Linked DNA regions of Arabidopsis thaliana. The protein of the gene in region 2 interacts with the protein of the main gene of each other region in a pairwise test. Each region holds a gene or a part of one and is shown on either strand. Other genes may lie near its edges.

Region 1 (3,865 bases), on a different chromosome or scaffold from region 2:
TCTCACCAAGATGTTGCAGATCAAATCATAACCTCTCTAGTCGATTTTAAACCGGAAGAGTGGGGCTTGCCTCCATTCGAAGATTCGAACTAAACGATACAAACGTCTTCAAGGTAATGATAAAAACTCAAATCATGAAGCTTATTCTTTGTCTTGTTATATTGTTTTGGCATGTACATGACAAAGGCCATGAGGCTTTATGTCGTCAAGGGTTCTATGATTTTCTGGCTATTGAAGACATAAAAAGAAACTAAGTGGTGACATGACGAGAGACCAAACAAAAAAATTTGCCTCAACGTTTAAACAAATTATTTTTGTACAACTACTCTTACCCACAAGTTTCAACATTGGCTTATCTTATTTTGTTCTTGTCGGTATAGCTGAATTGATTCCTTCTTTATGGTTTGGAATCTCTCTTCTTTACGCATCACTAACATGTGTTGTTACTGCAACGTTTCATGTTTTACACTATAATTAAGAAAAATAGGTTATATTTAGTATTACAACTTTTTTTTTATTTTTCATTTCGTACGTGAACAAAGAAGCAAACACATCCAATGATGATTTTACAGTAATGCCATTAGGATTCAACCGACATCGGCTGTTACAAAACATCGTATGACATCGTTGCAAAAACGGTCTTTCTCCTCCTCACTCGTTTCTTTTAACTTGTCTTGTGTTTCCCTTGACCGGCAAGATTCGAATTCTCTTCGCTACACGAACAAAGTCCCTGTGTCAACAAGCAAATTTTCTCGTTAACGTCCAAGTATTAAAATATTGCCAGTTAAAGATCACGAAACCTTCAAAATCTAATTATACTAAACATTGAACGAAAACCGTAATTTTTAAGAAAGATATATAACGGTATCAAACAAAATAACTATAGCCAGCAAAATTGAGTATACAGAATAAGGATAGCAACAAAATATCATTTCACTAAATTATTGATATTTGTCTTTTTAGAAAAGCAGAGAACATGTGTTTTCTTGGCAGCTTGAAAAACTTGTGTTTGTAGTATTTTACCGTTAGGGGAAAAAAAATTAATATAGTTTTCCTATGTTTAAAATAAGGCTCGTTTTATATATAGTTTGTATATATATGGCCATCCTGACAATAATAAAGAAAATTAATGTTAGGGGAGGAAAATTACTTCCAAGTAAGATCTCCGGCAAGAAGGAGATCGTTCTCCATGTCTTCATAAGCAATAAGATGGCCAGGAATGGCGTTTGACAGATCAAGATCGTCCGTTGAATCAGCTCCATCGACAAACATTTGCCTTAGAGCCGAAGCCAAGCTCTGATAACTCCCATGCTTGTCTAGGCTTATGCGTTGACATATAGAACGTCCCTCTAGCACAACCGTAACCGGAGGAACCACCGATGAAACAAGATCGTCCTCTACGTTAAGCCCAAAGCCTTGGAATGATCTCCCGGCCGCTCCAGAGCTGGAGTTGCTATTATTATGGTTTTTGGAAGCCGGTTTGGGTATGAAAGGTGTCGTGGTGTCACGAGGTTGTTGTGTGGTGCTGTTGTCTTGATGAAACCTTCTTTGCAAAGAGTCTTGGCTTTGTGGCTCGAAACTATTCATATTGAGAGTAGGGTTTTAGGGCTTTTGTAACTTAGAGAAGACAACGGACGCTTACATGGAACTCAAAGTGTTTCGTGTTTTTTTGTTAAGCTAGAGAGAGACTGTGTGTTTGATGAGATTCTGGTGAAAGTGAATGTATGTACATATAAATAGATAGAGAAAGCGTAAATTGTGTGGCAAACAAAAAGGTGTCTTTTATTTTTCATTTTTCAATTTTCGTTTGGTTTAATGTTGTCTTAAATGTTTCATTTAATTTGAAAGTACATCTGCTCTTTGGATTTCTCGTTAGACAATGAATCCTCAATTAACAATCAATTTAATATTTAATTATTCAATGAACAATTGGATTCACGTAAAAATGTTCTCACATGCTTATGTATTAAATGTGTTTTTACAATTATTGTATTTTGCTAACTTATTCTACTATATATCTATCACTGCGACTGTGAGAGTAATAAGAGCTGTTACAGGAAATGTTCCAAGGTTTCACTAATTTTGACCATATATTACCAGCAAGGTATTAGGTATTTATGTATACAAGTATAAAGAAATTTTAAAATAAAAATGTTTGGAAATGTTTACGTGGACAAAAAGAAAGCTGATGGGAAAACATAAAAACAGTGAAAAAGAGTCAATATAATAAGAAATGTGAATTAGCTAGAAAACTCCAAATTAATTAAAGACATTATAAATTGGTGATTAATTAAATAATGAAAGAAGGTATCATAGAAAAAGAGATCTTGTAAATTGTAACGCATGGGCTGCGGAGACGACCGCGCTGCCGTCGCCGAACGCCTCGCTTCCTTGACTCGCGCCTGGTCGGGAGTTCCACGTCATTTTCTTTTCATACACTAATACACACATCAAGCATACATACGAAGAATATAAAAATTGTATTAACCGGTAAACACACGCATATATCCACACGACCACACATCAACGTCATATAGAATATACATGCATAGCCATTTATCCATGTAACATCACATACACACACATGAATACGTTTAACGTTTGATCTCATACTTCTCGGATTTAACTCGGTTTGACGAAAGTAAAACAAAGTATTAGACCTTGGTCCAAAATGTAGACATCACCCCTCTAATAATAATGAAAACTCATGTTATTTGGGAGGAGTTGTTTAGAGTGATTAGATCCAAGAAAATATGTGAACTTAATTAGAAATTTCTTAGATCAAAAAAGAGGGAAAAAAAGAAGAATTGCACTCTAAACTCATACAATATAATCCAAAGTCTTTTCGGTTATAGATTTTGGTGTACGGAACTTATCTGAAAATAAATAAATAACAAGTTTGTTCGAGCTACCTAAAATTAGTTGATTCCAATTCAAGTCATTTTAAAACATTATACACGATTTTAAAATCGCAAATAATTAAGTTGAGTGACCAAATGTATAGGTAAATCATGTATGAGTCAAATAACTGTGCCTAAAATTGTAATTTTATGCTAAAATGTTGATTTTCATATGGACTATTAAATGAAAAATTAACGGTGGATCCAACAAGCAATAGGTGAATAAGCTAAAGCAAACCCAAGAAGACATAAAACGAAGCACAAGAAGCATATTTTCTTAAGTTTGAAGCAAACAATAATTTACTCTATACATTTAAATTTCAACTCGGGATTCGAATTAGAAGACTCGAAGATCCGACATGGAGGCATGGAAATATTTAAAACTTACCTCGGTTTCATAGATCTCAATTTAGGACTATAGTTTAACACATTACTACGTCTACATGTTATATTTAATCATCTAATTAATTTGTCTCGATTTTTGTTTTTTTTCGATTCTACAGACATACGTTAATGTTTGCTTATTCCACTCCCCGATAATAATCAAAATTTAAATAACAATCAAACACTTACCCGCTGTTTTGGTCTGTTTCTAACCAAACAATGATAATCATTTTGTCATGCTCATCCAACATTAGCACAAGTCTAAACAGGCCTTACACATCAGCTCAATAAAGCCTTAATAGGCCCAATTAAAACAGTATGGGCCCACATTCTTCCTTCTCTTAAAGCCTAAACAGTTGGCGCGTCAAAATCACGTGGAGGAGCACTGAAGCCAGTAGGTGTCTCTTCACAGGATCATTTCCTTAAAGCTCATTATCACAAAAACAAATCCTTTTGATTATTATTACTGAAATAAAAAGCAAAGTGAAAAAGGTTTTAAAAACTTTTATTTTCGCTCTTCTCCAGAAACATTCCGTTTCAGATATTTTTGATTTTTGAATTTGTTTTCGCTCTCTCTCTCT
Region 2 (4,885 bases):
TGTGTTGGAGGGAAATTTTATTTGTAGGTTCATCATATGTCAGGAACATTATTGTCATGTTTCTGTAAGCTTTCTGACATTTAAGTTCAGATTTTGACCATAAGTTTTGATCATAAATGAGAAAAGAACAAAGTTAAGTTTAGTTTTGCGAATGTTAAAAAAAATAAATATCTTATTTGCACTTTTTGAATTATTTACCAAATATAAAAACCAAGATGGTGTTTTTTTTGTAATACCAAAAAAGAGAGAATTTTAGCTACGAGAGAATGCAAAATTCGGATTTGTGATCCGTTTTATTGAAAAAGATTTTAGTTTCATAGAACATATATCAAGTAGTATACAAATTGAAAAATAGGGTCTGATAGATCCGAGACACTTGGGTATTATCACCTAACTTTTAAACGTTTATGCCAGTTTTTTGACAAACAAATCACGAAGTATTTGAGGATAAATACAGTATTTGTTTATGTTTTCTATCTTTTTTTAGGAGGATGAGTTCATTGGTTTGATCTTAAACAATTGAAAATTTATAGGTTACCACCAATTTTGCGATTTTTTTTCTTCTTCTATACTTTAGATTTAAGTTTATATATAGATATTTTCGTTTGATATCAATATGGGAAGCCCACAAAGTTGGGGAGTTTAGTGGTACCTTTTTTTTTGGTTCACAATTGCATACGAATATTGGGGAGTTTAGTGGTACTATTGCATACGAATATTGGAGATACGAGAAAGGGGTGGAAAAAATTGATGATAAATTGAGCCCAAGTAGGAAACAATACACAAGGCCGTATATAAAGTTGGCATGTTGGGTTCAATACATGAGGCCGTCTTTTTGTTCGGCCGCGGCCAGTGGTGAACACTGAATATGGCCTTTTGAGACTCCGAGGGGACAATTATAATCCAACACTAAAATACATCTCTAAACTCTATTTGCCAACTAATTTCTTTATTTAAAATACGTTTCAATCTAATCAAAACAGATAAGCCTGTTAAACACAATTTTGATTTCTCGAGACTACGAATAGGTGGATCTATTTGTATCATAACATCATAACATATAAATCGATATTTAAAATTTTGAGTAATAAATTTGATGTTGGTCTCTAACAATTTGCGGGTAATTTCTTGATATTTTGGACATCACCCGAACATATTAGCTCATTACACACCAATTTCTATAGAGGCAACATATTTTCTTATCATTAAAGTTGACAGCTATTAGAGCCCTTAATCACGTTTGATTTCATATCTAATTCCAAATTATATGGATATAACAACAGCATAGCATATAAATTGATATGTGTAGCATTAGGTTATATCTTTGACCGGGAAATGCATTGGCAGGCCATTATACTGGGAAGATGCATTCGCATATATATTAGTAGGTGTACTTAGTAATCGTCTACTTGACATAATTAAAATTACCGGTCAAAAACACGAGATATATAGGAACTCATATTGTGTGGATATATATATTAGTTTACATGTGTATTTATGGATAAGGTTATAACGAATTCAACAAATTCTCAAGGTCCTATGAAATTTCAACAAGTATATTACAGTTTTTTTTTTATATATGGCTTTTCTTCTCCCATGTTTCGGCTGTCTACGAAGAGACATTTGGCTTTTCATATTGGGATATTGAAAAATACATTTTCAACGTTTTATATATGATTTTGTGTGGGTGAAATTAATACTTACAGAACAAAAGAGCTCATGCACGTTTAGTGTTATTTTGGCGGCTGTTTTTAAGGATTTGCATATATTCTTTCCCACGTATTGAATTCTATAAATGACATAATAATCAAACTTGTAAAAATAATAGAATGAATAGTTTATAGTCTTCCAAAATTCGATTTCTGTTGTAGTGGAATCGCAGACATTTTCTAACTTATGAATGTTGTTATAGGACTTCTTTAAACCTTGGTTGGATATACCCAAATAAATATAAAGTTCACACGAAAAAAACTTGGAATCACATCCAGGAATATTCACCACTGGATCAATACTACTATACAACAAGGGAAAAAAAAATATTTAACTTGGGAAGGTATATACTTATTTTATAAACAAAAGCAAGATTCGCCTTGTAATGCGACGGCCCGACTTCTCTCTTTCAAATAATGATCCTTGAGAAACCCTATAGAGCCATATATACGTTGTCTTTATAAAGAGACATAACTCATCTCTTCTTGACTAACTTTATAGTTAAAGTTATCAATTATTCGAAAACAAAGCTGGTTTTTTGTTTTGTCCCTTAAACCAGCATGATCAAGAACTTAAGTAATATGAAGAATGACAATCAGAAACGTGAAAAATGTTGCGAGTACATCGAAGCTCTCGAAGAAGAACGTCGCAAGATCAATGTTTTCCAACGCGAGCTTCCTCTTTGCGTAGAGCTCGTGACTCAAGGTACATACATATGCATTTACATTTCATATAAGATATAATGAGTTTATATATATGGATTAAATGTTAGATCTAAAGATTTTTAAAAAATGTTTTATGGAATTTAGCGATTGAGGCGTATAAGAGGGAGATATCAGGGACGTCGACGGATAACTTATACGGACAGTCGGAGTGCTCAGAGCAGACCACCGGAGAATGTGGGCGCATCTTGGATCTGTTCATACCAATCAAACACTCTTCGACCTCCATAGAAGAAGAGGTTGATGACAAAGATGATGATGATGAAGAACACCAGTCTCATGAAACCGACATAGATTTTGATGACAAGAACATGAAATCTGAATGGCTCAAGTCTGTTCAGCTCTGGAACCAATCCGACGCAGTTGTTTCTAATAATAGACAGGTAAGATTTTTATTTTATTTTATTTTTTCTTTGTTTACATTTGTGTTTTTGTTTGCCTTGAATTACATTTACTGTATTGTTTCCAAACCAGCCTATTGACGTTGTTAATTGTTAACGTAAAGACTAAACGCATAACCTTCTGTGTACTTTATGCGATTGTGTTTGTAACTTACAACTTCACAAATAGATTATTCTTTTTTCTTCCAGTTTTTGTTTTTTTTAATAGACCGAAAAAGGATGGGTGCACAAAAAGATAGTAAATTGCTCACAAAAAGATTTTGTTTTGTAATTTAAGTTTCTAATAGCATTTTGCGTATTCAGGATCGCTCACAAGAAAAGACAGAGACGCTGGTAGAGTTGATAAAAATAAACGATGAAGCAGCGAAGAAAAACAACAACATAAAATCACCGGTGACTACTAGCGATGGTGGCAGTGGCGGTGGCGGTGGCAGAAGAGGGCAGAGAAAGAATAGGCGGTGTTGGTCGCAAGAGTTACACAGACGCTTCTTGAACGCTCTTAAACAACTTGGTGGCCCTCATGGTGCGTTTCTTGGTTTTAAGTTAAAACATATATATCAGTAGTCATATCTTTTTGTTAGGGCTCATGAAGTTTAATTAATTCGTAATGACCTTTTTGTTCACTAAATTTTGAAGTAGCTACGCCGAAACAGATAAGAGATATAATGAAGGTTGATGGGTTAACAAATGATGAAGTCAAAAGTCATTTACAGGTTAGTAAATCATATTCCATGAAAAATACATGTAACTAATATGTAAAAGGTATATATTAATTTCATCATTTTAGTTACAAATGTTTTTATAATTTAGAAGGAAAATAATATTTATTGTTTCATATTTTTTTTAATGATAAATAGAAATATAGGCTGCATGCAAGACGGCCAAGCCAAACAACACCGAACAACAGAAACTCTCAAACGCAACATTTCGTGGTGGTTGGTGGAATATGGGTCCCACAGACTAACCATTCAACGGCCAACGCAGTCAACGCCGTCGCATCGGGTGAGACCACCGGGATTTATGGGCCTATGGTCAGTTCGTTGCCGTCCGAGTGGCCGAGGCATTCCAATTTTGGTAGGAAGATTTCGGAAGATAGATCAAGATGCTCTAACAACGGATTTTTTCGGTGTAGCTCACCAGCTATGTCTTGTTCTACTCGTACAAAGACGAAAGATGCAAAAATAATATCATAAATTTAATTTTTGATTATTTATTAAGAGAAAAAAGTTATAGACATTAATATTGTGAAGAGTGTATATATATAGATGTTGGAGCGTGACTCTATGTTATTTTTAGTTTCTTGGTTTTTTTCTATTAGCCGATGATATCTTTGATCAAAGATCCATATTAGCTAATGCATACTATATTTTTTTACGTCGTGCAATATGCATATCGATGATAATAAGTTAATAACACAAAATTATTAGATTACTAGTTGAAGAATCGTATATAGAAAGAATCGTAATTATATGTAGAATGATGGTATATTATCAGCATATATTTTTATAGAGGCTTTAGCCACCAAAATTAATAAATGTCAGTCACAAACTCAAATTAATTAATTTCGTCCTTAACATATGTATGTCGGCCAGGTTTCTATTTGCTATAGTAATATAAGATACACAGAAACATTGTAGAAATGTAAAATGTCTTCGAAAACAGAAGAAAAATACATATATAAACTTTTTTGAATGAAAATAAAAAAAATTATGCCATACAGAAGGATCGGAACTCGGTAGAATATGCCGGAATCTGAAGAGCATAATCTGCAAATATGTTTTTCAGGTTAAACTTTATTCTCTTGTTGCTTGTACTGGATATTAACACAAATGTGCACGTTGGGCTCCTTCTCGTGGAGTGAATTATTCTTTATTTGTTCCTTTTACTTTTGTAAATACAATTTTTCCATATAAGTATATAACTGTGTAAATATTAAACCCAAAATATGTTAAAAGACAAGTTTTTTTGTAACTTAAGGGCAAGAAACAAGGTGTAAAGCCACATGAAAATTGCTGACCATTCTAACTCTCGACACTACTATACAATTAATAT

Evidence for each region.
Region 1: the proteins of AT3G25790 (region 2) and IAA33 interact in binary tests that used the Arabidopsis thaliana proteins (3 or more experiments, as listed by UniProt).

What each region holds. Positions count from the first base shown.
Region 1 is NC_003076.8:23,267,746-23,271,610, reverse strand, and holds IAA33 (indole-3-acetic acid inducible 33), read right to left. Parts: upstream 1,698-3,865; 5' UTR 1,588-1,697; coding exon 1,151-1,587; intron 731-1,150; coding exon 652-730; 3' UTR 519-651; downstream 1-518. Other genes in the region: GS1 (Haloacid dehalogenase-like hydrolase (HAD) superfamily protein), read left to right, coding at 1-93. UniProt on the Arabidopsis thaliana protein: Aux/IAA proteins are short-lived transcriptional factors that function as repressors of early auxin response genes at low auxin concentrations.
Region 2 is NC_003074.8:9,410,926-9,415,810, forward strand, and holds AT3G25790 (myb-like transcription factor family protein), read left to right. Parts: upstream 1-2,126; 5' UTR 2,127-2,270; coding exon 2,271-2,415; intron 2,416-2,519; coding exon 2,520-2,815; intron 2,816-3,136; coding exon 3,137-3,356; intron 3,357-3,469; coding exon 3,470-3,546; coding exon of another isoform or gene 3,547-3,585; exon of another isoform or gene 3,586-3,690; coding exon 3,691-4,026; 3' UTR 4,027-4,315; downstream 4,316-4,885. UniProt on the Arabidopsis thaliana protein: Probable factor involved in nitrate and phosphate signaling in roots. Integrates nitrate and phosphate starvation responses and adaptation of root architecture, depending on nutrient availabilities.